Pelodiscus sinensis: one gene and its partner. Each later gene encodes a partner of the first gene's protein in a complex. Links are inferred from orthologs where the notes say so. Each region holds a gene or a part of one and is shown on either strand. Other genes may lie near its edges.

Region 1 (14,894 bases):
CCGCAGAATCCTGGTTTAGAGAGATTCAAACTGTTGTCTGACCTTTTAAAAATTGTTTCTGGTGGACAGAAAAGAGCACTTCACTCACCCTCACATCAAGTGTTACTTTTTTATCTGGATCTGGAAATACTCATTTTTTAAAATTAAAGCTTAAATTCTGCAACAACTGATTGGTAAGCTCTATGCTCCCAAAGAAATTCCACACACACTATTGGTGAGTAAGAACAAAATACAGGACTATGTAACACTTTAAAGACTAACAAGATGGTTTATTAGATGATGAGCTTTCGTGGGCCAGACCCACTTCCTCAGATCAAATAGTGGAAGAAAATAGTCACGACCATATATACCAAAGGATACAATTAAAAAAATGAACACATATGAAAAGGACAAATCAAATTTCAGAACAGAAGGGGGATGCAGGGGGGCGGGGAGATGTAAGCAACTGCATTTGTCAAATCCTGACTGTGTCAACCACATCATCTTTATCTCCTATTTTATCAGCTATTTCTAATAACTTTAACAGGTTGAAGAGGAACAATTTTTCTTTACAGAAAATGGGTTTCTTTGACATTATCAGATTTTACTTATCTAAGTGCTGTACTAGTCTATTTTCAATGAGACTCCTAATCAGGTTTCCTGGGATTGAGGTAAGGTTTTCAGGTTTCCTGGCTCCTTTTCTGAAAATAGACAGTAGCTTGGCAGTTTTCCAGTTTTTGGAAACAGTTAAGGCTATATTGTTGATCCATATCAGCACTATTTCACTCCTTATTTCTTTTACTTCTCTGTGATAAATAACATCCTGTCCTGGTGATGTACTGCTCTTGAATTCCTCAGGCTGATGCATAACTTTTGTTTCATGGTATTAGTAGTAGCAAGGCTAAGTTTTTAAACAAGAAAAATGAATTTCACAAAATGCGATTTAAACTTTTATATTTCTTTAAGGGTGTGTCTAGACAGTGGTACTATTTCAAGACAGTTCCACTATCCCCAAACAGCATTTTCCATGCCCATTAATTTGAAATATCTTCTGAAACAATGGATGTGCTATTCTGATGTAAACCTCATTCCACAATGATTAAGGGACATTTCAGAATAGCAGTTTATTTCAAAATTAACTTGAAATAAGCTACGCAATGTGCATAGCTCAAACTGCATAGCTTATTTAGAGCTACGGGAGCAGTGTAAATGCACCCTAAGTGAATAATCATCAAACGGAATGTCAAATTAATACCCAGAGCAGATGCCATCAGAATAATGACATCTGGATTCGTATTGGACACCTGTGAGAGTTTGTGGCAAATCACAAAAAAAAATCCTTGTTGGTAATGTGTTCCCTACCAGTAGGACACTAGCCATAAGATCGATAGAGCTAATCTTCCAACATATCTATTTTGTTTGTGGGATCGATTAGGCCTTCTTGGCCCTCTGCTGGAGATATTGGAGTCCCGATACCCTCCCCACAGACCACGTTTACTGCAAGTTAGTCCTCCAGATACCTAGAAACCCTAGAGGAAATTCTGACTAATCAAGAGCCAGAAGGACAATTAAAAATGGTTGTCTACATCTCAGGGCAGAGCAGTGTGAGAGTGGGATAGACTGTTTCCACCTCTTCAATAGTCTAAAACACAGGCCCTGCACTCATGCACTGCATAAAAGCATTTGACTTTGAGTGTTGTTTTGTGTCTGTATTTAAAGGAACAGAGTGCTGAGGTTTGTGTTTGTTATTGAGTAGCTGGTATAGTCTGAAGCCAAGCTAATAGCTACAGCCCATGGATTGAGGTAAGAAGTGCCTGCAGTACCACACTTTGGCCCTTGAGGGGTTACTATAAAGCAGACACATCTGCCTCAATGTGTATTATTAAATCTAGGCCAAATTCTGTCCTCAGAGAGGCATATAGAGCCCCTGCTGAAAACAGTGGGAATTCGGAAGTGTGTTTGTGTATCTAAGGGAAGAATTTGTTCCTATACCATGTCAATAAATTTTCCCATTTTAAAATGACAGTCGTTACAATTCAGGAGGTATCAACTGTGTGATCTGTTCCCAAACTGTTAACTCTGCCTGAAGTGCCTGCTATGTTAGACTCTCATTTACTCCATGTGAAACAAATTAAAACCTGAGTGAAGACTCTCTTTTTGGCAGTGAGCATTAGGTCCATAGTTGTGTGTACTGTATTCTATTCCACAGACAAGTGTACTGATTTTGTTCATTACAAAAGTTCATGTCAGAAACTTAGAAAAACAAAGGGAGAAAAGATCTTACATTTTGATTGCATTCACACTGCTTCTCTTGAAACATACACCTTCATGAAACTGAAATGATGCACACATGTACTGAGATACTGCACTTAAATTTCACCAAGTATAACCTGATTTTAAGCCAATTCAGAGTTTAAGAATTAGCACAGATTGATATATACTAGAACCTCAGTTACAAACATCATAAGAAAAGAAAATGTTTGCAACTCTGAACAAAATCTGTGGTTGTTCAAAAGTTTACAATGGAACATTGACTTACAGCTTTGCAAATTTACTATGCAGAAGTTAAATGCTGTTTTTTTACCATCTTAATGAAACAAGCAAAAATATAGTTTCCTTACCTTGGTCAAATCTTTAAAGTTTCCCTTTATTTTTAGCAGTTTACATTTAACACAGTACTGCATTATACAGTATTTGCCCTTTTTAAAAATTGTTTTGGCTGCCTGATTGCATACTTCTGGTTCCAGATGAAGGGGGCAGTTTACCAGTGAGTCCATAACTCTGGTATTCGTAACTCTGAGGTTCTACTGTATGATAAAACACTGCACTTGCATTGTGGTAACTGTAGCTTGTTCTGTTTATTGTCAAAGTCTTTGTGCTCTGTAAAATGAAGACGTATTTACCATATATGACAAGTTGTCACAGAGCTTAGCTCAGCACAGGGAGTCTCCTATTTCACTTCATTCTTCTCTTTACTGCATTTCAGCAGCTGCAAATACATTTAAGGAAGACAAGATGAAGGAGAGCAGAAAAGGAGGTAGAAGATGGAAGGAGAAATGGGAAAAGGTGTGATAAGGACAATTAAAGATGGAAAGGGGAGGAGGAAGAAGAGAGGATGAGAGAAAAAATTACAGAAGAAAGGATATAAAGAAAAATAAGATGAAGAAAAGAATGAAGTTGGGTGTCTCCTTTCCCTCTTTTCATTAGTTCTTAGTTAATCTTTTCTTCTGATTTGGCCCCAAAACTGTTTTGATGGTAGTGTGAGCATCCACTATTCCTCCTCAGTGGGAGTTGTAGATGATCAGCAACTCTGAAAGATGGCTATGGTGTGCTTCCATAGCTTTTCCGAGTGTATGGAAGTAATTCAACAGTTGTGCTGTGGCATCATTCAAGGTAGCTGTGCATGTCCTAGTCACACTTCTGACAAGGAGTTCTAGTAAACCCATACTTTGTTTATTCTTTCTCTTTAGCTACTTTTATGTTTATAATATAGAAAATTAATTTTGCAGGCATTTCAGAATTTTGCCTTGGAGCAAATATTCATGCAGCAGTGGTGGTATAAAAGGAGTGAAAATGGCCAAGCTAATGCATCTAAATAAACTTGTAACATGGGTGTAGGTTTTCTGATAATACATTTGTATATGTAATTCTTCATATTCCTATGAAACCCCGAAAGCCCCCATTCTCTTTCTTCCAGTCTGTGAGGCCCCATGTTGTAGCCACCAAATTTCAACCGGTGAAGACCTTGATGGAATCCCTTTCATATCCTACCAATGCTGCTCTTTAATGAGCCAGAGAGTTCATTGATGAACGTCACAATATATCCTTTCATTTTTTAATCCAAGAAAGAAATGAATGGAACCAGAAGTTTAACTAGAATCCCTGGCAGTTCAGATTAGTACCAGCAGAGAGATACAACCTAATAGTTGTATAAAACCTGTACATAATTTGTGAGGTGGAATACACATACTGTGATGTTGCACTCAATGTTCTTTATTGAAATATGCTTCTGAGTAAGACACAACTTGAACATGCTTTATGCAAAATACTTCATGTAACACATTATTCAAAAAGTTATATTCTGCTGAATGTATATATTTTATTTCTGTGCATATATCATTCCTGAATTTGAAGTTATATATATGTTTTGTATACATATACAAGTAACTTTACCCATTGATGAACCGTTCCTAAATACTGTTTACTATCATACTATTAGTTATATGTTCCTTGGGATTAGGCAATGTTTTATTAACTGTAATAAGTAACAGGAAGTGGTCTCTAAGCCATTTGACATTATATTGTTTTGTGTCCATTTCTCAAGAAAACAAAAATGACACATCTCTTGCAAATCTATATCTACATACACGGTACATGAGTTCTTGGACATTCCTGTTTTAGACTACAAACCTGCAAAGACTTGTGCAGGTGCTTTATTAATGCACTGAGCAGTCTCACTAAAATCAGTGGGACTACTCTAAGAGCATAAACTTAAGCAAATGGACAAGTTAGCAGAACTGGGGCCTAAGCATAATATTTTAGAAAGCACCTAAGTGGCTCTGGGCACATCTACTCTCTGATTCAAAATCCCATGGCACTGTGTCTGAGTGTAGCTCACTTTGACTCAGGTTGATGGGGCTTGGCTCCAGGACTATAAAACTGCAGTATAGACTAGGGATGTTAAATATCGGTTAATTGAAGAGTCAAGTAACCTCGTGAATTCTTATTGGTTAGTCAACTACTCTATAGTACCCGGGGGCAGGGTTGGCAGCCAGTGCACTCCGGCCCCACTACCGAGGAGCACCCTGCCATTCCTTGCTGCTGCCTCTGTATCATCTTCCCTCTCTTTCCCAGTGCAGATAGGCAGAAGGAGCAGGGAGCTCTGAGCCTTGGTGGTGCGCCCAGCCTGATTGAAAGGCTTGATGGATCAGATCTGGATCCCCATTCTGTCTGACGTGGCACAGAGACTTGATACTGCTCCCAAGTGAGTGACTTCAGTGCTGGGCTCTAGGGTACCGAGCTGGGTCTTTCTCAATCTCTGCTATTGAAGCTGCTCCCCTTTGTATAATATTTATTAGAGAAGAAACTGCAGTCTGGGTTTCCCAGTGGGACATAGCATCTCTCTCTCTCTCTCTTTAGTTTAATTCAAGGAATATTTAGAAAGTGCCTACAAAGCAGAACAGCTTCAACAGGTTTTTCATGAAAAAGGGCTGACTAACTTAGACACCTACTTCCAGAGGGTGTTCATGCCTGTGAATCCCAACTGGAGGGAGGCACCTCTCTGCAGCCCAGAGCTAGGCACTTAACACCATTGGCTGTGTGGGGGAAGGTGGTTTTCCTTATCCTCAGCATTTCCTGCTTAGGTGGCTCTGTGCTCAGTGTGCTGGCTTTTGTGAATTCCATTCGCAGGTGCCTAATTCTTCCTATGCATTATGATAGCATTGTACTGGCTGCCTGGGTACCACATGCAGGGCCATGGATTCCACTGTTCTTTATTACCATAGTGCTTAGGAGCCCTAGTCTTGGACCAGGACTCCATTGTGGTAGGTGTTATCCATACACAGAATAAAAACACTGCTCCAAAGGGCTTGCAATCCAGGCAGCCTAAACGTTAGGTGTTATACTTAACATATTAAGTCCCCAGTGGGTGAGACTTGGCTCCGGAGTCTCTAAGTCCCTTTTGAAAGTAGGATTTGGTTTCTATGTCACTTAAGGTACAAATTTCAAAAGCACCTAAGTCCACAAAGTGCTGGACCTGGTGTGTGCAGGAAATGGAAGGAAGCCAAGCTGCCCCATCCCCCTTCCTGACCACAGGCTCCTGGGCCATGGCTGTAGCAATGCTCCACTGGGATGGCTGCAGGACGCCCCTGCAGGAAAGTGCCCACTGTGTAGGAAACAGATGGCCTTGCTCAAAACAAATTGCCATAGTCTGAACTGAGACCTTCAGTGTCAGCTCAGAGTTTAGGGCTAGGCTTCATGCACAGTGTCTCCTGGGATGAGTGCTCCTGTAACTTTTCTTCACAGCTGGGCCAGCTGTGAGTGTGGCACATCCACCACCTCCCACACCATCTTCTCAGCTCTGTGGGATCCACTGCAAAAAGTGCACCAGGGAAGACCTGCTGCAGGACCAGATAGCCTGCCTCCAGTCCCTCATATGGGGGTTCAATGAGGAGTGCTGGGAGCAGACTGCCAACTGTGAGGCAAGCCGGGTTGACCAGAAGCAGCTGATGCACCAGTATGAGGCCATGTCTTCCTCCATGACCTCTGTCATGAAGCGCATGACTGTGCATGGAGTGGGTCACCAGTGAGCTCCTTGCTCCCCTCTCCACCCAACTCTCCTGCCCCCATCCCCGCCTCTTGTCTTCTCCTCCTAGCCCTCCGAAGGGCCACTGAACACATGGTGATGGGACTTCTTGGGCAGCGCAAGAGAGACAGCAGTCCCAACACCATCCCTGAGCCACCTTTAGCAGGAATCACTCCCTACCAAGCAGACCAATATTGTCTCGTTCCTTATACTCCCATATTTGTCTATATCAAACTGCTTGGGGAAGGGATTAGCTTCTGGTTCTGAGTTTGTACAGCTCTTCCCACAATGGCTTCTTGATCCAAGACTAGGGCTCCTAGACACTAGGACAGAGATGGTCAATCTAGGCTAGCAAGTGGGCCACATAAATGGCCCTCTTTTATCTGAGTGGGCTGCAAGAATGTTGTAAGCAAGCTACCCTCCTGGAAACAGGGTAGTTTTGCTCACTGCACTTGCATGCCTAGAATTTGCAAAAGCTTTCGTGGGCAAAGACCCACTTCGTCAGATGCATGTAGTGGAAATTTCCAGAGGCAGGTATAAATATGCAGGCCAGAATCAGGCTGGAGATGACGATATGGATCCAATCACCTGCCTGATTCTGGCCTGCATATTTATACCTGACTCTGGAAATTTCCACTATATGCATCTGATAAAGTGGGTCTTTGCCCACAAAAGCTTATGCTCCTACACTTCAGTTAGTCTATAAGGTGCTACAGGAGTCCTCACCGCTTTTGCAGATTCAGACTAACACAGCTACCCCTCTGATACTAGAATTTGCAGTGTCCCAAATGAACCATAGCAGTGCTTTGATTGGATATAGAGAGTGCATGACTCTCACTGTTAATGTTGTGTACAGTCAGTGGGCACCTCACTTCATGTGCCCTTGCTTTATATGTCATTTTAGTAATGTTACTTTAGTAAAACTGGCAGGAAAAAATGATGTGGATGGAACCCAGCAAAATCTGACAACCCTGTGCATGGGTAATGGTAAAAAAAAAATGTTTTGCAGGACACATACACAACCCTGATGGGCCACATGCAGTCCTAAGGCCATCACTGCACTAAGGTAAGAGACTTAATAATCACTATCAGGTCACCTACATTTTATGGAAAATTTTTGGTGACAAATTCTTTTTAATATGTGGTTACAATCAAATAAGTTCTGGCTTGTTTCCCTCTCCTCTCAAAGCAGAAGAGTCTAATTACACCGAGGTTAATTTTAAGCAATGAATCTTTGTGAATAGTAGTACAAAAGATTGCAAGTAACTCCTCTTTCTTCACTCCTCTTTAATCTAAACCCAGTTAAGTAGAACTGCGCATAGTTTCCTAATGCATAGGGATGAAATCCTGGTTCCATTGAAGTAAATGATGAAATTCCCATTGACTTCAATGGGTCAGGATTACACCCTAGATGTCTGTAGAATAACTAACAGAGTCCTTTCAATATTGCACATCTCAAGAGTTCTGATTGTGCACTACTTAATCACATATAACTCTGTTGTCTGTATAAGGTTTGGGATATCTAAACTTACTAGAACTATAGTCCCCAGTCTTGGAAGAGATGACTAAACCATACTGTCTTCTGAGATTAACTGAGTTTCGCATCATGTTACTATGTGAAACCTCCAGAAAACATCTTAAAACCAAGATCCTGTTTGTTCTTTGTAGACATAAAGTATAATTTTACTGTTTTTTAAAAGCACTGTGTGGTTCCATGTTTAAGTAAAACAAATGTGTGTTTTTTCTGATTGCCTGTCCTGAAAATTTAGCCCTCATTCAGCAAATCAATTTGGATGCTTTCTGTCTTATGCGCCACCATCCAGTATAAAGATTCTGCAAGCGAAGTAGAACAATTACTGACAAATGTGCAAGTTCATTTTCTTCTAATTCTGCTACCAGTGACATTTATAACACCCATTCAATTCAGTGGGGCTGTAACTGCAATTCTACTGATGTTATAAACGCTAGGATATACTCCAGTTTACTTGTCATACTGCATTGACTCTGCTCAGCTAACAAGAATAAAATGATCAAGGCTATCCTTTTGAAGAACATCTAGATTTGAGGCAGCAAAGTGTGTATGGTGACACTGTGAAAACACCAGGTAGGAGACTGGTTCATTTCTCCATGTACAGCTGTAAAAGGGGATATGTTTCTAACCAACTAAGTTCCTTGGGGTTCAGGATCCTCTATTTCTCAGTCACCATGATTGAGAACAGCCTTAGGGTGCTGGAAGACTCTGCTCAGTCAACAGAAAAGTATGGTTGATGAGCCACAAGGGGGGAATTTGTGGGGATGTAGAATCCAGAAAAGACCCCTGGGGCCAGAAAAAGAGAATTTCTATCACTGGTTCTTTCCATCCCCACACCTCTAGGATCCAAGGTAGTGGACACCCATTAAAATCAGTAGGAGTCTGCCCACACTGATCCAGTGTTTGTGTGGCTTTGCAGTAAGTAGATGCTCCTGTGCATTATTCTTTCTGCTTACCAGCCTGCTGCACTTGTTTCCTCCTGGTATAGTCCAAGTCCTCTGCAGAGAGTTGCCAATGCCCCTGCCAGCAGATAACACCCACAGAGATGCAGGAAGTAGCCAGATACACTCAGGTCAGGTGTCCCAGCTTTTCTTTCAAGGACAAGGGCTGGGAAATTGTGTAAAATTAAAGAGTGAGATTCTGCTACACTCAGGTGCCTCCAGGAGCCAGGCCCTGGGCAGAGGCCAGTAGCGTGGGGCAGCACGCCCCTACCTGGACAAAAGAAGCCCTGGACATTTTAAAGCACCCTTTGGAAAATGCTAGGGGCGCCTGCGGGCGGTGGGGGGTTTACAACCTTCCCCCGCCAAGGGCAAGGATGGGCGATCAAAGTGGGCCCCTTTACCGCTAGGCTGGGCTTCCTCTCTCCCGATGGCCGGGGGCAGCAGTACCCCTTCCCCGGGGCGGGCTGGGAGGTCTGGGCTACGCAGGGTCCCCGACACGGCTGCGGGGCCGTCCGCTCTGCTTCCTTCAGAGCCCATAGGCGAGCGCAGTGTAAACAGCAGCACATGGGCCCCCTCCCTTCCCCTGGGCCTCCTTCCCGGGCTCGGCCCCACCACCCTCCCTCCGCCCCTGGGCATGTGGCAGGAGGCGCAGCCCCACACCCGCTGGCTGGGCTGGGGGAGGGCCGGGGCCCAGAGGCAGAGCGAGCGGCAATGCCCTGCGCGGCCATAGCGGGGAGACAGCGCGGCCCTTCCCCCGCCGCCCGGGCGTGAGCAGCCGCCGCCGCCGCGCTGCGCGCAGGAGGAGACGCGGAACAGGTGGCCAGAGGCAGCAGCGAGCGCTGGCACCGCCCCGGCGGCGGCCGAGCATGTGAGCGGGAAGCCCGCAGCCCGGGACTCGGCCGGTCCGCTGCAGCAGCTGCCGCCTTCCCTCGGCGCGGGCTCCTGCCCGGGGCTGGCGGCTGGCCCGGGGCGCAGAGCCAGGCGCGCCCGGAGCTGGGGGCCGAGCGCGGGCGGGGAGCGTGTGGGGGCCGCAGGCAGCCGGGCGGCCGGGGCAGGATGAAAGTCACCGTGTGCTTCGGGCGGACCCGGGTGGTCGTGCCCTGCGGGGACGGCAACATGAAAGTTTTCAGCCTCATCCAGCAAGCGGTGACCAGGTACAAGAAGGCGATCGCCAAGGTGAGGGTGCGCGCCCGGGGCAGCGAGCGGGGGACGGCGCAGGAAGAGGGCGCCTGGGATCAATATGGCGCTTCCTGGAAAGGGGGAGGGAGGGGATGAAAGGGGAAAAGTGCAGGCTGCTCGGCTGGGGAGAGACGTGGGCACGGGCTGGAGGGGCCCGGCCTCCGCAGCCCCCCTCCCCGAGGGCGAGAGTTGGTGGGTGCGAGATCCAGAGAAGGAAGAAGCGCGGGGAGTTTGGGCCAGAGGCGCTGCTGCTCCTGGGTGCAGCGATCTAGTTTTCCTGACAGTGAAGTTTAAAGCGCTGCTGGGCTGCCCGGCCCGGCCCTGGGGGCAGGGAGCGTGTGTCTGTGTGAAAGGAGTTGCTAACTGAACATGGCTTCTTTGTAACCCAGCTGGGGAGCTGAGATTTACCCTTTAGCGAGATACAGTCGCAGACGTGTGTTTTGGGGCCTGAGCTCTTTGTTACTATTTTGTAACGAGCAAACGAGTCTCTTGTAGGTGTGATTGTAAAAGGGCTGGGGGATCTCTCCCTCTAGCTCTTTCTCTCTCTGTGGTGTTCCTATTAGTTGCGTACACCCCAAGTGCCCTGGGTCCATACAAACTGGGGTATTGGCTGTCACTTGGAGGGTTACATCTTGTTACTTTAATTGTCGCGGAAAAGACTGTGTAACAGCGTGCTATAGCTTTTGTTACATCTTCAAAGCTTGGTGTTTGAAACAGATAAAGATATAAATCCCCAAAAGTAGGTCTCCTTTACAATGATTTCTCTTTGCTGGGCAGTAGTTACTGCAAAGAATTCAAATCCAGCCCCAGGCTTCCCAGCTGCTCCAGGCCCAGGAAGAAAAAAAACAGTGAAATGTGGGGAGTTGACAAAACAGCAGGCATTTAATGTTTATATCTGAAAAAGTTATATGTCTCTTGGACTGCCAGAAAAGGGGAAAGGTACTACAGAGAGGATTGTCTGGAGAATTTTTTTTTTTAAAGGATGGGTTAAAAGAGTGTTCTGTTGGATTGTTTGCTAGGACAATCACTTCATGACAAGTCAGTGCACTCTTCTCTGTGTCAGAAATTCTCATGTCAACACAGAGAATCATTTACTTTTCCAGTTACTCTGAAAGAAGTTTACAGTGTAGGGAGCCTTTGTGCTGGAAATATGTTAATTGCATTTATCTTTGGAAACGTAATTGATTTCTTTCTTTTTGGTGATGTTAATTATAATTACAGCTTGTCTGAATAATAATAGAGAGGTAGCTGTGTTAGTCTGGTCTTGCTAAAACAAAAGAAAAAAAACATGTAGCACTTTAAAGACTAACAAGATAGTTTAATACATGATGAGCTTTCGTGGGCCAGACCCACTTTCTCAGATCATATTCTGGAAGAGAATTGGCATGACCATGGTATATATGGTAATGCCAGTTCTCTTCCAGAATATGATCTGAGGAAGTGAGTCTGGCCCACGAAAGCTCGTGACATATTAAACCAACTTGTTAGTCATTAAAGTGCTACATAGTTTTTCCTTTTGTTTTAACTTGTCTGAACGCTTTCTGCGTAGAGTTGGTGCATGACTACATGTACATAGTTATTTACAAATAATTGTATCTTCCATTCTGTAGTCACTTAGAATATTTTATTTTTTTGCTGCAAAACATGTTTTTAAATTTCTGACTAACATTTGCCAGGCCAATCTGAAAAAGACCAGTAGATTAATGAAATTCCATCTGGTGCTTCCTACTCCCCCAGCTTTGCTCAAGTAGTTGGGTATGACTTATTTTTTTACCTTTATGATTTTTGTTTTGTTTCAGTTGAGAATTTTTTACTTCAGGACTCTCTGAAATTGCACCAAGCAATTAGAAGTTTGAAGTCTGCTTGCCTTAGCATTAGTAGGTTGGAAATACTGTGTCAGGTTGTGAGTGGGGTGGTGTTTTTTTCCAATGAGAACCTGTGGCTGGTGTCCAGGGAAAGGGAAACCAAAGTTTCCATTTTTTTGTTTCCTTTTTTTCCAGAATTTTTTGAGACAATCACTACATCTTAGTATATTGTGTAACATCACACAACATTGACTAGTGAAATGTTTCACTGAAAGAAGTCAAGATGCCAACTGCAGTTATTTTGACAGCTTCATTAAAGTGCATAACATTTCATATGCACAGAAATGACCATGTCCCAAAGTACTCTTACAACTGAGAGTGCTACTTACTTAAACGGGACTATACTTGACAGTAAATATTTGTATGATTGGTCCCTAAATCTTACAATATTAATATAATCTAGTGATGATAAATCTATGGTTTCCAGGCTGTAGTCTCTGAATATCTGTCTCGTCATAGTGCACTGGATCACATTCCTGTTTCCAGCTGTTAAATTGCATTAAAGACAGCTACAAACACATTCCTAATATATTTCCATGTGAACAAATTGCAGTATGTGTAACAGTGAAGTTATGTGAGAATGAGTGGAGAGGATGGTTGCTTGTATGCTTGCAAATGGCGGGGAGGGGTCCATGACAAAAGCTCTGTTATGTAGCCACATTATGAAAAAAAAAATTAGAAACCTCTGAAATGTGATATATTGGCAGGTGAACGTCGTAAAGATAATTTTCAAGATTACAGTTTTGCTTGCTCCTAGCCTTCAGAACTTTTGATCTTGGGTTTTATAAAGGACCCGTTGGCTTTAAATTTCATTTTTATTTTGTGTACTGTATTTTGCATGGATTAAGCTTTGTTGCAGTTGGGGTTAGAATGGTGTTAATTACAATGAGAAGGCTTCTACTATATGCAAATCTTGTGAAAACAGTTATCTACCCCAACTAAGATCACAGTGATGATTCCATGAGTACCACTATAAATAAGTATAGATAAATTTTACCAAATATTTTCCAAGTAATAACTGTGGCTTTTCATAATATGGAAATAGCGAGGGATGTAATTTCAGGTTTTTATGGTTAGTGCCCCACCTTTCTAGTGTGATTAGGTGGTCTCTTTTTATTGGAGTCCAAGAGCTGTACGGCTCTTTGCTTCTTAGAAAAGGATGTATATATTAAATATTTGAGAGATCAACTGTAGTTTTTAAATTTATTTTTATCATCATTTTGATAACATTTGGCATTTTTCTGAGTCTTCCAAAATGTATTACTTCTGCATCAATTATAGCCTCATGTAGGAAACTAAAAATCTGATAGAAATGTTCTAACACTAACATGAAAATGTGGGCCCCAACCCTACAAAAATGTATGTACCTGTTTAATTTAGCATATTGTGAGTAGTCCCAGTGACTTCAGTAGAGCTTCTTGGAGATTGAAGGATCAGAACAACACTGAGCTTAGCTCTCCCATCCCACAATTTTCAGTTTTTGACTAGCAGCAGATGCTCTAAATCAAGACTGTTTTTAGGTGCTTATACAATGCTAGCTCTCTACATTAGCATTTTTTTTAGGACTGTCAATTGATGTGCGTTAACACCTCTGATTAACTCAGCCCAGGATTAACACGTTAACTTTTTTTAACGTGTTAATTGTGGGCGTTAATGCTGCGCTGCCCCTTTTGGGGACTCCAACTGATCTTGGGCTCCTGTGGCTTTGAAATGCTGTTATTGCGTTTCAAAGGGGCAGCTGAACTGAGCCCGGGGTCAGCTGAGGGCCCCAGCTGATCCCGGGCTTGTGCAGCGCTGCGCCTTTGAAACGCCGCCGCAGCGTTAATTTTTTAATTGCTTGACTGTCCTAATTTTTTTATTTGCACAGTGTGCATGAAGTTATTCTAGCACAAAGGACTCAATTTGGAATTGTGTGCAAATGTGTTTCCAAAATATTGAAAGTATATAACTTAATCTTTGACCTTTATTTTAATTTTCTTTTTCTCACTTAGAATTATTTGAATTGAATTGACGTGGTGGGAGTGGAAACAATACCTGTTTAACAGGAAATAAATTAGGGTCAGAGACAAAATGCTCGCTGTTTTAAAAAAAAATTAAATAACATACGCATAACACATTTCATTTTTGCCTTTTATCATTCTGTAGTTGCATGTGATAATTAGGAATGAGTCAATCAGTCCCTTTTATTTTTGATGGTAAATCATTGCCATTTTAGATGCAAAATCTCTCTCTATTAAAGATGGTTTAACTTGTTAGTATGGTAGACTGCATCCCCCTGTCAATGTGATGGAAAGTCCAAACATTTTTTTGGAAGCTTTATTACAAGTATTCTTTCTTTTTTTGATATTCCAATAAAGGCTGTGTAGTTGAAATATGAACAGTAAGCCTTTTTCTCTACAACTTGAAAACAAACAAACAAAAGCCCATCCAATCAACCTGGTTGTCAGCATGATACATTCTTGAATTGTAGGCAGGGCTTACAATCCACTTGCCCAGGACAAGAAATCTTTTTTTTTTTTTTTGAGAATTCAGTCAGGCTTAGCAGAATCTAAGGCATTGTCTCCATTGGGACCAGACCCACTGTTATTGTAACATCAGTATAATTGACTGGTGTACCCCATAATGAAGAAACTCTCACTGGTATTAACTACTATGACTTGCATCAATGCATTTTACCCTTGCTAGTGGGTGATGCGTAAATTTTCAAAACCTGCTTAAGGGGAATGCAGAAGTTGTATAGTTCTCCTCACAAAATTATATGAATGTCTTGGAGATTGAAAAGTTACAGAAGGTTGCAATCAGAATGTGATGAAGGGACTTGCAGGCTTTGAATTATGAAAAGAAAAAGAAGACTTGGCCTATATAACTGAATAATAAGGACCTGAGAGCCAGAGTACTGTACATTGAGAGTGTATATGATTATGAAAGGAAATGCATATATTGATGCCAATAAACTTTTTGACATACTAACTAGATTAAAATACATATTATAAAGAGAGGCACACGCAACTGAACAATTCAAATTGCATAACTTCACCAAAAGATTGACTTAAATACACAAGATGTTGAAATTTGTCTGAGAAGTTAGGAATATG
Region 2 (15,077 bases), on another chromosome or scaffold:
TACTGAGGATGGGGGCTGGCACTGTGGAGGGCTCTGAGGGGGTTGGGTGCAGTGGGGCTCTGGGGTCAGTATCTGGTACTGGGGGTCCGTGAAGGGGTGGGAGCTCCAGGGGTTAGAGCTAGCACTGGGAGGCTCTGGGTGGACCAGTAACATTTTATCTGCATTATGCAAATAATAAATATGCAAATAAAAAATGTTACCGATCTACCAAAAGTTTGTGGATGTGTTTGCCAGTCCGATAAAAAAGGTTGGGAACCACTGGTCTACACAATTTCAGATCACCTTGCACATTTAAAACAAATAGTAGCACTCTAATGCTACCATAATTCAACTGAGAACATCCTTTCATCATAAATCTAGATTGACAGTCTTATAAATTTAAAGATAAAGATCTCTACTGAACTGAAACTACACACATTTAGCTGCACTCTCATGGTGCATTTCATCCAAAGCAGTTTACAAGTACTCATTAAATCTCTCAAAGAGCTCTGTCAGGTAGAAAAACCTTGCTAATTAGTACTAATCACTGCTGATTATCAAAATTTCAGAAATTACTGAGTAAGTGTAACAGCAATAATACCACAAAATATGCTGTACTCATTTATTTTCACATGTATTCACTTACATATCTATTACAATAAAAACAAATATATTAAATGTATATAGCTATTTTATGTTTAATAGAATATTCTGATATTTAACTTAAGACTACATTTTAATATAAAGCGGTGAGGAGTCCTGTGGCACCTTATAGACTAACTGAAGTGTTGAAGCATAAGATTTCGTGGGCAAAGACCCACTTCATCAGACCCACAAAAGCTTATGCTCCAACACTTCAGTTAGTCTATAAGGTGCCACAGGACTCCTCACCACTTTTGCAGATTCAGACTAACACAGCTACCCCTCTGATACTTAATATAAAGCCTCACTCTCCCATTAAATATTTGAGAATATTTTTATGTGCAAATTATCAGATTTGTAATGAAGTGTAATTAGAGAGGTTCTGCTAGATTTCCATTTTACAAATGGCTACATCAAGAAGGTTAAGTGACCGGTTCAGGGTTAAAATGAGAGTTAGTGGTAAGACTAGTTTTACAATTCATGAGCTGTCTTCTGGTCTACGTGCTCTAACCACAACGTGACATTTCACTGCAGGAGCAAAAGCTTTCCCTATATATCCATGGACCACATCATTTTGTTTAAGGCATCATTTGCCAATCCTACTCACACATCAGAGCTGAGTATGAGGGTAGGGCTACATTATAGCTTAATACATTATATTGCTCTGGGGTGTCAATTTGCCAGACACTGAGCAACACAACGTATTCCAATTTAAGCGCTGATGTAGACAGCACTATCTCCTACCTACCCAGCTACCACTGCTTGCAGGGGTGGGAATAGTTAAGCTGACTGGAGACCAGTATAACCTGTACACTTGAGGGGCCACTTAGAGTCATGTGCCACCCAGCTGATTGACAGAGTGCCCACAGCTGTATTTGTTTCTTCTGGTGGTGCATATTTGCACATGCCTCAGTGAGCATAAAAAAGTGTATTCCATACATGGATGGAAAAAATCTGCACATGGATGGAAAAGATTATCAGGAACTTTACCAGAGACTTCTTCCCACATGTAGAGGCATGGTGTAAGCTGACGGGAGAGATCAACGATGCAGGGGTCAATCATCCAGCGTCAATTTAACTGTTTAGTAAAGACCTGCTAAATCAAACTATGAGGGTGACCCCGTAAGCACCAGAATTCCTACTTGTTGTGAGGAGTAAGGGAAGTCAACGTGACCATTTCTCCCACTGACTGCCTGCTGCGATGACAGCACCAAAGCTCAGCTTAAGGTACATTACTCCAGCTACTGTTTTTACTGGGCCTGGCATTACAACAGCAACAGTAGAGGGTTTATATCAGTGTAGTCAAGCCACAGCCCTAGTTTAGATTAGGAATGTCAACATGTAGATGACAATACAATTCACCAATAAGGCTGGTCTTATTGGTTAATCCTGCAGCAAGCGGGGGAGAGGAGGGAGACGGTACCTGCGGGGAAGCCAGCTTTAAGTTGGCTCCCCACGAGCACCAGATCCACCTGCTCCCCCCCCCCCCCCATACCCGTGCTGCAGCCTCTGATAGAGAGGCAGCAGCACAGAGGGTGAGGTGGGCAGGCAGCAGACAACAGACAATACGCATAGGAGCTGGCTCTGCAGACCTGCCTGCTCCCTTGCTGCCTCCTACAGAGGCAGTGGAGGGGCAGGCAGGAGCTGATGCTGGGGGGGGGAGGGAGAAGAAGAGGGCACCGCAGGGTAAGACAGCTTAATCTGGCTCCCACCTGCCACCCCACACTGCTGTCTCTGACAGAGAGGTAGCAGTGTGGAGTAGAAGGGGGCTTCCCAGAAGGGGGCCAAGAGTACACTAGCTGCTGGGCCCCGAGGACTAGGGATGTTAAATTTAGTTTAATCAACTAAGTGACTAATCAGTGGATTTTCCATCGACTAGATGATAAGCGGGGGAGCCATAGCAACTCTTAATACATTTAGAAAGCAGAGGCACAGCGTCTGGGACTGGGCTTAAGCCAGGAATCTCTCCAGCACTGGTTCTTGCTTCCTCCAATAGAAGGACTAGTCGCTTACATCCCTATCTGGAACCACTAAAATTTGTTGCAGTTACAGGACTATTCCATTACACACTAACATCCCTATTTTAGATTCTGTTTCAATTACCAGCCAGATCAACGGGGCAGCAATCGATCCATTGCGGGTCCGTTTAGCAAGTTGATAAATTCATTGCCAATAGCTCTGGCATCATCTTTGATGCTCCATCAAGCTGAGAAAGGTAAGCAAACACCACAGTGAAGAAACTGTGGCAAGAAGAGCTAAATACGCCAACTTCAGCTACATTATTCATGTAGCTTAACTTAGATACATTGCCCCTCATAGTGAAGACCAGGTTTAAGAAATGTACTATTATTCCCTTTCACAGTTTAAGGACTCAAATCGTCATCCAGGTTGTCATCCTCTTTCCAACTGTTACAGGTTGAACCTCTCTAGTCTGGCACCCACAGGACTTGACAAGTGCCAAACCAGAGAATTTGCTGGACCATGGGAGGTCAATATTATCTAGCAGCATTACCAACACTTCCATTGCTTACTGGAGTCTTAGAAGACATTTAGAGGTAAATTAGAGCTAAACAACAGTACAGAACACTGACAGCCAGGACCGGTGGCTGTAACAAACTTCATGAGACTGCAGAAAACTTGGTTATACCCACGATAGCTGGATGTCCACTTAACTAAAATTGTGTTGGATCAGAGTGCACCAGATTAGAGAGGTTCACCCTGTACTAAACAAAGTTTCTTATGGAGGAAAAAAAACCCAATATGGCTATGCTACATAACAAATTGCTGACAATGACCACACTCTAGATCAACATATTTTTAGCATATGAGGAAAAGAGCCAAACCTCAAGTCTAAATTATAAAGTTACTATCAATTACTTTTAAGCCCAATTGTTTTTTTAAAAAAAGGAGGGAATGGGATACCAAACTAGATAGAATAGTGATAGAAATGTAGTCGTGTTAGTCTGGTGTAGCTGAAACAAAAAACAGGACTATGTAGCACTTTAAAGACTAACATGATGGTTTATTAGGTGATGAGCTTTCGTGGGCCAGACCCACTTCCTCAGATCAAATAGTGGAGGAAAATTGGCATGACCAAAGGATACAATCAAAAAAAATGAACACATATGAAAAGGACAAATCAAATTTCAGAAAAGAAGGAGGATGGTGAGGGGGGAGGTAAATGTCTGTGAGCTAATGATATTAGAGGTGATAATTGGGGAAGCTATCTTTGTAATAGGTAAGTTAGTGTCTTTGTTAAGACCTAGGTGTAAAGTGTCAGATTTAAGCATGAATGTTCAGAGGATTAGAAACCATCTACTTCAAAACAGACCCAAGAAAACCAACAATAGAACACCACTTGTCATCACCTACAGCCCCCAACTTAAACCTGTCCAACACATTATCAATAAACTACAATCTATACTGGAACAGGATACTAAACTAGAGAGGCTCTGGGAGACATACCCATAGTCTCCTATAGACAACCACCTAACCTCAAGATGATTCTTACCAACAACCACAGGACATACCACACCAATACCAACCCTGGAACTTTTCCTTGCAACAAACCCTGTTGCCAGCTTTGTCCACATATTCACTCTGCTGACGCCCATTATTGGACCTAACCAATTGAGTTATAAGATCAAGAGCACATATGCCTGCTCATCCAGAAATATAATTTACGCTATCATGTGCCAAAAGTGTCCGTCTGCTATGTACATTGGACAAATGTCTGACACTTCGCCAAAGAATCAATGCCCACAAAACAGATATTAGACAGGATCACAAAGAAAAACAAGTTTCTTGCCATTTCAACCAGAAAGGGCATGGTCTCAATGACTTGATTACCTGCATCCTGCTTCAAAGACATTTTAACACCAGACTTGAAAGAGAATCCTCTGAACTGTCATTCATGCTTAAATTTGACACTTTACACCTAGGTCTTAACAAAGACACTAATTACCTTATCCATTACAAAGATAGCATCCTCAATCACCACCTCTAATATCATTAGCTCACAGACATTTACCTCCCCTCCCCCCATTCCCCCTTCTGTTCTGAAATTTGATTTGTCCTTTTCATATGTGTTCATTTTTTTGATGGTATCCTTTGGTCATGCCAATTTTCCTCCACTATTTGATCTGAGGAAGTGGGTCTGGCCCATGAAAGCTCATCACCTAATAAGCCATCTTGTTAGTCTTTAAAGTGCTATATAGTCCTGGTTTTTATTCAAAAAAGATAGAATTATTCTTATATTGTTTTAAATTGAATTTAAAACAATCATTCCCTATAATATTGGGAACCAAGCAACAAAAGCAACCTGCTATTAAAATTGCCAGAAAATGAAAGAGTCTATAAACAGAAGTGAACATAATGGATGTAACTGCAACTATTTGATTTTTGTATTTTACTCAATGTAAGCCAACCACATTGTGAAAGGTGAACTGGAATTCTAAATTTCATTTTTAATAACCAAACCTACTACACATTAGGTAAATATTGTTACCTGGATTTACTGATAACTTGCGTTTAAAATCCAAACACCTTTTTACCACAATAGGTAAATATTTCTCTGACAATCTTTGAGTTTTCCTTAAAGTGGTTTGGGGAGGGAAAAAAAAAAAAAAAACAATCAATAAGCTAAACAGCAGCATTTGCTGGCACAGTCTACAATTTTAGCCACAGAAATGATGCCTCTAATTGTGCAAGTGTAATAGCAGCTATAACCTATTTGAATTACAGTAGCACTGAAAGTGCTAACTAGTATTAGGACCTTTTTGTGACAGATGCTGCAGAAAACCAAACAATTTCTGTCCCAAATTTCTCCCAGGATTCATCCATTTCCAAACTATGCAGGTGGACATCAGCACTCAACTCAGTCTGCCAATGCAGAATTCATTGCAGGACCAGGGCCTAAGGAAAACCAATTTAAATCCAGGCGCAGCAAATGTACTTTAACACACTACATTGTTTACTAATCTTCATACTGAATCAGCAAATACATCAAACACTTCTGTTTCAACACAGATTTGGTTAGAAACCAAAAACAAGCCAGAGCATATCACTAGTTTATAAAGATTTAGGAATAAAAAAATTAACATTTTAACATCCAAGTAAATTTACAAACATTGTTTGGTTACTTAATTACTTAATGATTTCACAGACTATTATTTGCTGCTAACTAAAGTGACAAACCACATATGAAGCTTCAGGGGGTAGCCGAGTTAGTCTGTACAGGATAAACTTAAGCAGCATTGAAAGGACTGTACGTATGACTTACCCATTATAATGTGTTTTTACTCTGATGACGTCTCTGTTCAGATTCATTTTTGATCCCATTCTGCTAGGCATGATACTAATATAGAAGTCTAAACAACAAACACATTATGGGCATAAAGACGATCCTCCAAACCCAAAGTGTTGTCAAAAATAATCACTAATGTTATGCTAAGGTCTAATGAAGTAGCAAGTAATGTGTATAGGCTTTTTGCCCCCAAAATGATATCCAGTCCACCTACAGACACAAAAAGAAAAATAGAGCGTTAACAAATTTAAAAAGAACATGTTAAAACACAGATGTAATTCTATCACTGATGCCCCAATTTCTATGGTATTTTGTGGGTACGGTTAGGTGTTACTCACTAATTATAAGACCCTGGTCCTGCAAAAACATGTTAGTTTTTATTTTTGTTGCACTCTTGCTTTAACTTTACAGGTGCTTTTAAAAGTGTTTAATAAGCACAGGGATGAGAATTAAAGAAAATAGCACTGGCAAAAAATAATAGGGCAGTTAATTTTATGAAATCATTCATGTTAAGAGAAGCTCAGATAAGCTACCAACAGTCAGAACACTGTTTCCACACTTGACAAGACTAGGATTCAAGTGCTGAAACTTTTTTAAAGTTTCCTAATAAAACTTCTTGTATTTCCACTTAAGGCAAAAAATATTGCAGTACAAACACTTTTTAGGAGACTGTAGAAAGGAAGGGATACTTCATTTGCAATAAAAGTTGTTTACTCATTCTTCTGCTAGTCTCATATTTTTCATGCCACACAGAAGCTTTTCATTTCCCCCTATGGGAAAAAACACTGCAGAATCTGACACCAACCTTCACTGTGTTTCTAAGGAAGACAAGGAGCAGTCCTGTGGCACCTTAGAGATGAACAAAAACATACAGACTTTGCTTTCCCAGGCAAAACCCACTTCCTGAGAAGAATGCCCAAGAAAGCTCATACTAACTACACCAATATTCTTGTTACTTTAGAAAGTGTCACAGGGCTACTTGCTGTTTTTAAAAGTTTCAGACTAACCTGACTCTCAGACCTTTATGTCTGTAAAGGAAAGGTTTCAGCAGCATGCTGGCCTTCTTTTAGGGATGGGGGGGGAGCAAATTAGGAGCCTGCTTAATAATCTGAAGATCCAGCTTCCCCTTTGTAATAGTTGGGGGGCGGGGGGCGCACAAGCTACTGGATTCACCCGTCTTTGAGGATGGGCGTCATTGCGCCCCAGCTTGATCTGTTACAGCCTGGGTCCCACCAGCCGGTCTGCAGCGGCGCCTAGGGTCCTTGCGTCCCGCCTCAGGGCACTGGGGTCACTGCAAGCAGGAGCCGGGCGCAGCGCGCCTGCCCCTCGCGGGGTTCCCCGCTCCACAGAGGGAGCTTTCCCCGGTAGCTGCCCCCACAGAGCGTTCAGTGCTGCTGGGGGGGCCCTAGGGTGTCCCCGCGCAGGCCAGGCGGCCGGTGGGGGGGCGGGGCGCTCTCCTACCTGCTGTGGCGCCAGCCGAAGTGGTTCCCCTCAGGCGTGCAGCTCCCGTCTTGACACCCCCCTCAGCCTAACCCCGCCCACGCCCCGCCCTCAGGCTGGAAGTTGCCCAAAGTCCCGACAGGAAGTTGGGGGTCGGACTCAGCTCCCCCGCCCGAGATCCCCCTGAGGCGGCGGCAGCAGCGCGCACCCCCCGGAATCCCAGAGCACCCGCCGCTTTCCACCTCGCGCCTGGCTCACCGGCGACCCGCGCACGAAAGCAACGCCCGCTGCTCCCGCGCCACCGCTACTCCGAACATGGCGGACTGAGCAGGTTAACGGCTCCGACAGCCAATGGAGCGCCGCCCACCCTACCTGCCGACCAATCGCAAGCGCCGCCCACCTGAAACCAGTCCCCACAGGCATACCTCCGGGCCTGGCCAATCAGAGGGCGGTATCCGTTACCTGGCGAGCGGAGAGGAGGCAGCCAATCATAAAATATGAGCGGGGGGATGGACAGCTGCGGCCAGTGGCGGGAGAGGGGGGGGGGCTGTCTCTTAGGAGATGGGGGCAGGATGGCTGGGTGCCTGTTCCAGCAATGGGGTGGATAGATGGGGCAAGCAGAGATGAGTCCTGGCTGCAAGGCTGCCTCAGGTCTATTCTCACTGCCACCTCCCATTGGCCTTAGGCATGTCTCTTAACCTGGGGGTGGGTAATAATTCTTGATGGGGCACCAGTCTAATAATTTGGTAAGGGGTCAAGGGTGCTCACTCTTCTGTGATATTAGTGGGGGAAGTGCAGGGTCTGGGATAGAGGGGGAGTACAGGGGAAAGCTCAAAGTAGAGGATTGGGGAGGAGGAGTTTGGATGAAGAGTGTTGTGACCTGGGACAAGGGATTGGGGTGCAGGAGAGGATGTAGGGTTTAGGGTGGAGAAGGGCATGTAGAGGGTTTGGGTTGGGACCTGGTGCAGGACGGGGTGGAGATGAGTGCCAGGTGCAGGTTCTGCCTGGGAGATGCTTACAGTAGGCAGCTTCTGGCCAGCAACCCAAGGGGACCCTCCAGCAGGCTCCCTGCCTGCACCCCCACATGCCATTCAAAGCAGCTGACTGCTGGGGCTATTGTGTGTGTATCTACCTGGTGCACCCCTTCAGAGGAAGAAGGGAAAAAGTCTCCTCATGCTGCATGCCCCTGCAAGCATGGCCCAGGCTGGAAATTAGCCAATGGGAGCTGTGAGGATTGTGGTGGGGGCAGGAGACCTCACCTCCCCCAGAGTGGCACACGTGGTGCAGACACACGCACTAGCCCCAGCAGCCGGCCAATTTGCATGGCATCTGGTGGAGCAGCAGGCAGGGAGCCTGCCTGAGTATCCTGCTGGGCTGCAGGACATTGGCAATCTGGAGTATTGTGGCAGGCTGTATACGAATGTTTGGTGGGACAGATACAGCCCATTGGATGTATTTTTCCCACCCCTGCCTGATTTCTGTTCTGCAATTTACCCATCATCAACTAACCCACAACTGGAAGTGGAAGTGTGGGCCATTTACATTGTCAAGCCTCTTTTACATTCTCAGTTAGAATCTACAGGCAGTCCCCGAGTTACGCGGATCCGACTTACGTCGGATCCGCAGTTACGAACGGGGCACTTCCTCTCCCTGGTCTCGAGCAGACCAGGGAGAGGAAGCAAAGCGGCGGTGGAACGCGCGGCCAGCTGACAGCCCAGACGCGTCTGGGCTGTCAGCTGGCCGCGCGCTCCGCTCTGCTCCCCCCCCCCTCTGCAGACCAGGGGGAGGGGGAGCAGAGCGGAGCAGAGCAGAGCGGCGGAACGCACAGCCAGCTGACAGCCCAGACGCTTCTGGGCTGTCAGCTGGCCGCGCGTTCTGCCGCTCTGCTCTGCTCCGCTCTGCTCTGCTCCCCCTCCCCCTGGTCTGCAGACCAGGGGGAGGGGGAGCAGAGCGGAGCACGCGGCCAGCTGGCCGCGCGTTCCGCCGCTCTGCTGTGCTCCGCTCTGCTCCCCCTCCCCCTGATCTGCAGGGTGGGGGGGGAGCAGAGCGGAGCACGAGGCCAGCTGACAGCCCAGATGCGTCTGGGCTGTCAGCTGGCCGCACGTTCTGCGCTCTGCTCTGCTCCGCTCTGCTCCCCCTCCCCCTGGTCTGCAAACCATGGGGGGGGGGGAAGCAGAGCGGAGCACGCGACCAGCTGACAGCCCAGACGTGTCTGGGCTGTCAGCTGGCCGCGGGTTCCGCCGCTCTGCTCTACTCTGCTCCCCCTCCCCCTGGTCTGCAGACCTGGGGGACGGGGAGCAGAGCAAAGCCGCGGAGCCCGAGGGCAGCAGGATAGCCACGGCGCGTCTGGGCTGTCCCGCTGCCTGCGTGTTCCGCCGCTTTGTTCCCCATCCCCCTGGTCTGCAGACCAGGGGGACGGGGAGCAAAGCAGAGCAAAGCCACGGAGCCCGAGGGCAGCAGGATAGCCACGGCGCGTCTGGGCTGTCCCGCTGCCCCCGTGCTCCGCGGCTTTGCTCCGGACGCCTGTGGTACAGCAGCAGGGGCGCTGCCGGTTGGTCCCGTAGCGCCGCTCTGGGTGCCACTGGACCAACCCAGCAGCACCCCAGCTGCTCTGCCCCAGGTGTCCCCTAGTCAGCAGCTGCTGAAAATGACCAGTGGCTGACTACAGGAAGCCCCTGCCCCGGGCTTCCTGGAATCTGCCACTGATCAGTTTCAGCAGCAGCTGACTTGGGGATGCCTGGGGTTCTTAAGTTGAATCTGTATGTAAGTCAGAACTGGCGTCCAGATTCAGCCACTGTTGAAACTGATCAGTTTCAGCAGCGGCTGAATCTGGACGCCAGTTCCGACTTACATACAGATTCAACTTAAGAACAAACCTACAGTCCCTATCTTGTACGTAACCCGGGGACTGCCTGTACTATAGAAACAGTAGGGACAATATGGTTATAAGCCCGTGAGAAATAGGGTCTATCCCCTGAATCAGTGTAGCATAAAAACAATGCTAATTCTGCACCATTCTCAGTAGAAGACATTGATGTCAATGGTAGGTCATGCCAAGGGTATTCTACTATTTAATGTAAGTGTTTTCATTCTTATTTTTAGGCCTTTAACAAATACTTTTAAATCTGTCTTCAATAAAACATTTAAATCATTATGTAGTCATTTTCCAGGCACTCTTGAAACAGCAGAAGCTTCCACGTACCTCAATAAAAGTAAGAGGCATCGGTTGCTAGCCAATTAATAAACTCATTTACAAAGAGAAATCTCAAAGTAGGATCAGAATCTAGATTCCAAAGTGAGTGATTTTTCCAGTATCAGCTAAAATAACATCTTTACTATCTCAGGAGGTTTGCAACCTTTTCTAAGTCTTAGAGCATGAGATTAGGTATCAGAACTACTGGGTTCTTGCTTTTTTCACTGGTGCTGTCATCGTTTGCATTTTGAAGATAAAAAGTATTGCATACATATTAAGCACTGGTTTGTGTGACCTGTGTGGGTGCTGGTTATCATACTGATCATAATGATCTCACTGTTACTTTTTCATCCACCCACTGATTGTTGTCCAAAATGTAAATTACATGCTCTTTTGGAGAATAGACCAGCTTTTGGATATGTTTGTATAGAACCAAGCACAATTGGGCCCTGATCCCTTACTGGAGTTTTTAGGTGCTTTTGTACATCAAATAGTAATTATTATATTACCGGAAAGGAGGTGGGGGGGGGGGTCTGTTGTTTTTGTAGACTAGCAGTTAAATAGGAAATTGAGTTGAGACTCCAAAGTTTTGTTTATGACTCTGCTGCTTATTCACTATGTAACCTTCCCAAGCCCCAAAGAGGCATTATTAGCAGTCAGCAAGAATAATGACTACACATGCACAGGTAGTCCCACTTAAGTGAGAGTCATGGTTTCAAAACTGGTCCTTAAATCTCTCTGTGTCTCAGTTCTCCTATCTGTGAAATTGAGATGATTCTTACCTCTCAGAACATGGAAATCAATAATTAAACCTGTGAAGCAACAGAAGTTGCTTAGACAAAAGATGCTGTGAACTCTTTAAAGCTAAGCTTTTGGGTTTTTTCCAGCACAGTTTTTTCATAAGGCAATTCTATGTACATTTACATCACTTGTCAGAAAACGTGAATAAAATAAACATTTCATTATGGGTCACTCCCTACCCTTTAATCATTTTAACAAAAATATCCTAATTTTTAATATTTCTTAATATTACAATATTCTTAAATGTATTCATTTCTGCTTTGATGCTCTCCATTTCAAGGAATAAAGGTCAGCAGATGGCACTTTTTGGAGAGGATGTCAGTTTTCCTCTATGGATTAACTAACAAGATTGTAACAGCAATGCAAGGATAACATATTGTAAGACATTGTCTCTGGCATATTGTTTTTGAAACACAACCAACTTCTGGTGGCATAGAGCCAGAAATCCTGACTATGCTTCTGAGCACAATTTTTTTTTCAGCTGCAGTATATTTATTGCATTTTTATCTGTCATTAACTTACCCTCAACCTAATAAACTGACAGCTATTAAACCAGTGCTCACTAGAGGTTAAGGAACTGAGAATTTCCCTATTTAAACCCCATTTTTGAGAGGGTTATAACTCAGCTATTTTAATTTGTGTCAGATTGAAAGGAAATATTCAAGTTGAGGTACTACAGGTTGTACTTCCCTTGAAACATGACTGATTCTGAACCAGGGGAGGTCAATGCTGGACCCTTTGCTGCTGCCGGTTTCTACTCCGGAGACAACAAGAGGAGCTGGCATTGACCAAGCGGGAGTTGAGGGACCACTTGCAGGAAGAGGCAGGGTAGTTGTGGAGTCCTGTGGCCAGGGGCTAGGAGCACAGCCCAGCCAGAACACATTTAGCCTCTCAGCAACCCCGCCTCTACCCCCAAGCATCTCCCATCTCTACTCCTTCCCTGTCCTCCCTCCCTGAGTTTGAGTGCTGCTTATGGTGATGCTCCAAAAGCTCGGGAGGGGGAGGGATGGGTAAGAGTTGCTGAATGGGGGCCAGCTTTTCGCATGAGTACTCCAGACCCAGATTACTCACTGGGATATCAGACCACAGATGTTGCTGGACCACATAAGTCCAAACGTAAAGGTTAAACCTGTATTTTAAAAAAACTGGGGAGAAAAATATCCTGTTTTTTTTCCCCATACCTGAGAGCAGAGTACAAAGTGCCTTGGGGGGGGGGGGGGGGATGATTCCTTGAAAATATTTAAGTTGTTCGAAACGTGGCTATTGTCCAAACCAGTAGAAGTAGAAGAGAGTATATTTGGTTCATGCATCAGCAGCAGGACTGGGGATTTTCAATTCTGCATTCACTTCCTTGTGGAGTGAATTGTAATTGAATATACACACAACAATATCAGCACTGAAACCAGTGGTTTCTAACACTTAAAACTAAAGGATATCTCCTTTCTTGTGAGATGGTAGCTGGAGGCTGGCCAGCTCCTAAGGCTAAATTTATAGATTGGATGCTTTTGTGTTTTGTGGATCTTAGTGTGAACTTCTTATATAAGTCATGTGAGGCCCATCCACACCCATCCATTGAGAAGGAAGTGTTCTAAAAAAATTAGAAAAAACAAATACTCAAGAAATTCAGACTTTTTTCCAAGTTTATTCTAACCAAGAACCTGATCCATCTACTACTGAAATCCATTGTAAAGTCTCACTGAGTTGGATTGGGCCCCTGTTACTTAAAAGGATGCTATACGTTTTGACTGAGAAATCTTGGCAAATAGAAGGTCAAAGTAGGTGCCAGATTACACACACCTGAACCAATCCCATTGACTTCAGGTGATTTACTTTGGGTTTACCCAGGTGTAATTGAGATCAGAATCTGGCCCTGAATGACATACATTTTATATCCAGATATAGAACCCAGGATTGGGCATTTGTCCTATGGCACAAAGTTAAATAATTGTTTTCTGCTGTGTGCTACCACTATCCAGAGGACTGGTTTCAGGGTGTGGTGGCTTGAGAGTTATTTTATGATGCCTGTTGTAAAAGTGTAAAAGCACAACTTTCTGTAGGAATGTATATTTACATAGTTCCAGTAGGTGGCAAGATGATCCCAGGAACTGCTTTGGGAGAAAAGTACAGCTGAATACCTAATGTTCATAGCTTCATTCACTGTAATGTTGTTCCCAGGCTACCAAGCAGTGTTCTTTTTACAAAATAGTTTATTGGGAGATGCAAATGAACTGCTTTGGGGGTAAATAAATGGCATTAATCCACATTCTTGTACTGGGAAGTAGGGAGTTCTGCAAGCGTGCATGATCATATCTTACTCTGGTACAGGGCTGTTCTTCCTGGATTTCCACAGAAGACACTGAACACAAGAACAGCCATACTAGGACCAACCAGAGGTCCATCTAGCCCAGTATCCTGTCTTCTAACAGTGGCCAATATCAGGTGCCCCAGAGGGAATACTCAGAACAGGTAATCATCAAGTGATCTCTCCCCATCACCCATTCCCAGTTTCTGACAAGCAGAGGCTAAGGATGCCATTGATGGATCTAATATTGGTTCTTTTTTGAACCCCGTTTAAGTCCTGGTCTTCACAACATCTTCTGGCAGGGAATTCTACAGGTTGACTGTGTGTTACATGAAGAAATACTTCCTCTTGTTTGTTTTAAATCTGCTACCTATTAATTTTATTTGGTAACCCCTAGATCTTTGTGTTATGAGAGCAAGTAAAGGATATTTCCTTATCTGCTTTCCCCATATCGGTCATGAGTTTATAGACCTCTCTCATACCCCACCTTAGTCTACTCTTTTCTAAGCTAAAAAGTTCCCGTTTTATTAATCTCTCCTCACATGGCAGACATTGCAAACCCCTAATCATTTTTATTGCCCTTTTCTGAACCTTTTCCAATGCCAATATATCTTTTTGGAGATGAGGTGACTGCATCTGTACGCAGAATTCAAGATGTGGGTGTACAGTGGATTTATATAGAGGCAATAAGATTTTCTGTCTTATTCCCTATCCCTTTTTTTAAAAAACGATTCCTAACATTGTTTGCTTTTTTGACAGCCACTGCACATTGAGTAGATGTTTTCAGAGAACTATCCACAATGATGTCAAGATTTCTCTCTTGAGTGGTACCAACTAATTTAGTCCCCGTCATTTTATATGTATAGATATCAGATATCTAAGGGTATGTCTACACTGCACAGCTATTTCGGGATCTCGGAGAGATCCCGAAATAGCTGATCCATATTTATACCAGCCACCCGTTATTTTGAAATATTTTTCGAAATAACGGGTATGCTATTTCAGCATTCTAGTAACCCTTATTCCACAAGGGTTAAGGGATGTCTCGAAATAGCATGTTATTTTGAAATTTGGCACTGTGTAGACATGCCAAATTTCAAAATAACCTATTTCGAAAAAGATTTGAAATAGGACACAATTTGCGTATCTTATTCCAAGTTTAGGATGCTGTGTAGATGTACCCATAGAGATAATAGAATATTAGAACTGGAAGGGACCTCGAGAGATCATCAAATCCAGTTCTCTGTCCTCATGGCAGGACCAAGCATGATCTATATCAGTGGTCCCCAACGCGGTGCGGCATTTGTGTGTGCCCACCTAGTGACCAGGGCCAGCCCGAGCCATTCTTGCACCCCAGGCCCCGGCGGATGCGCGGTCTCCCACCCTGGGTGCCTGGCATCCCCAAAAGGTTGGGG

Evidence for each region.
Region 2: PARD3 (region 1) and PRKCZ share a complex: the UniProt entries of both Homo sapiens proteins name them as parts of the par polarity complex. The link is inferred for Pelodiscus sinensis from reciprocal best matches to the Homo sapiens genes PARD3 and PRKCZ.

Annotation. Positions count from the first base shown.
Region 1 is NC_134712.1:231,792,718-231,807,611, reverse strand, and holds the start of PARD3 (partitioning defective 3 homolog), read left to right. Parts: upstream 1-9,411; 5' UTR 9,412-9,811; coding exon 9,812-9,931; intron 9,932-14,894. UniProt on the Homo sapiens protein: Adapter protein involved in asymmetrical cell division and cell polarization processes. Seems to play a central role in the formation of epithelial tight junctions. Targets the phosphatase PTEN to cell junctions.
Region 2 is NC_134733.1:18,758,374-18,773,450, reverse strand, and holds the start of PRKCZ (protein kinase C zeta type), read right to left. Parts: upstream 7,748-15,077; 5' UTR 7,625-7,747; intron 7,529-7,624; exon of another isoform or gene 7,388-7,528; intron 6,776-7,387; exon of another isoform or gene 6,732-6,775; intron 6,137-6,731; 5' UTR 5,974-6,136; coding exon 5,903-5,973; intron 1-5,902. UniProt on the Homo sapiens protein: Calcium- and diacylglycerol-independent serine/threonine-protein kinase that functions in phosphatidylinositol 3-kinase (PI3K) pathway and mitogen-activated protein (MAP) kinase cascade, and is involved in NF-kappa-B activation, mitogenic signaling, cell proliferation, cell polarity, inflammatory response and maintenance of long-term potentiation (LTP).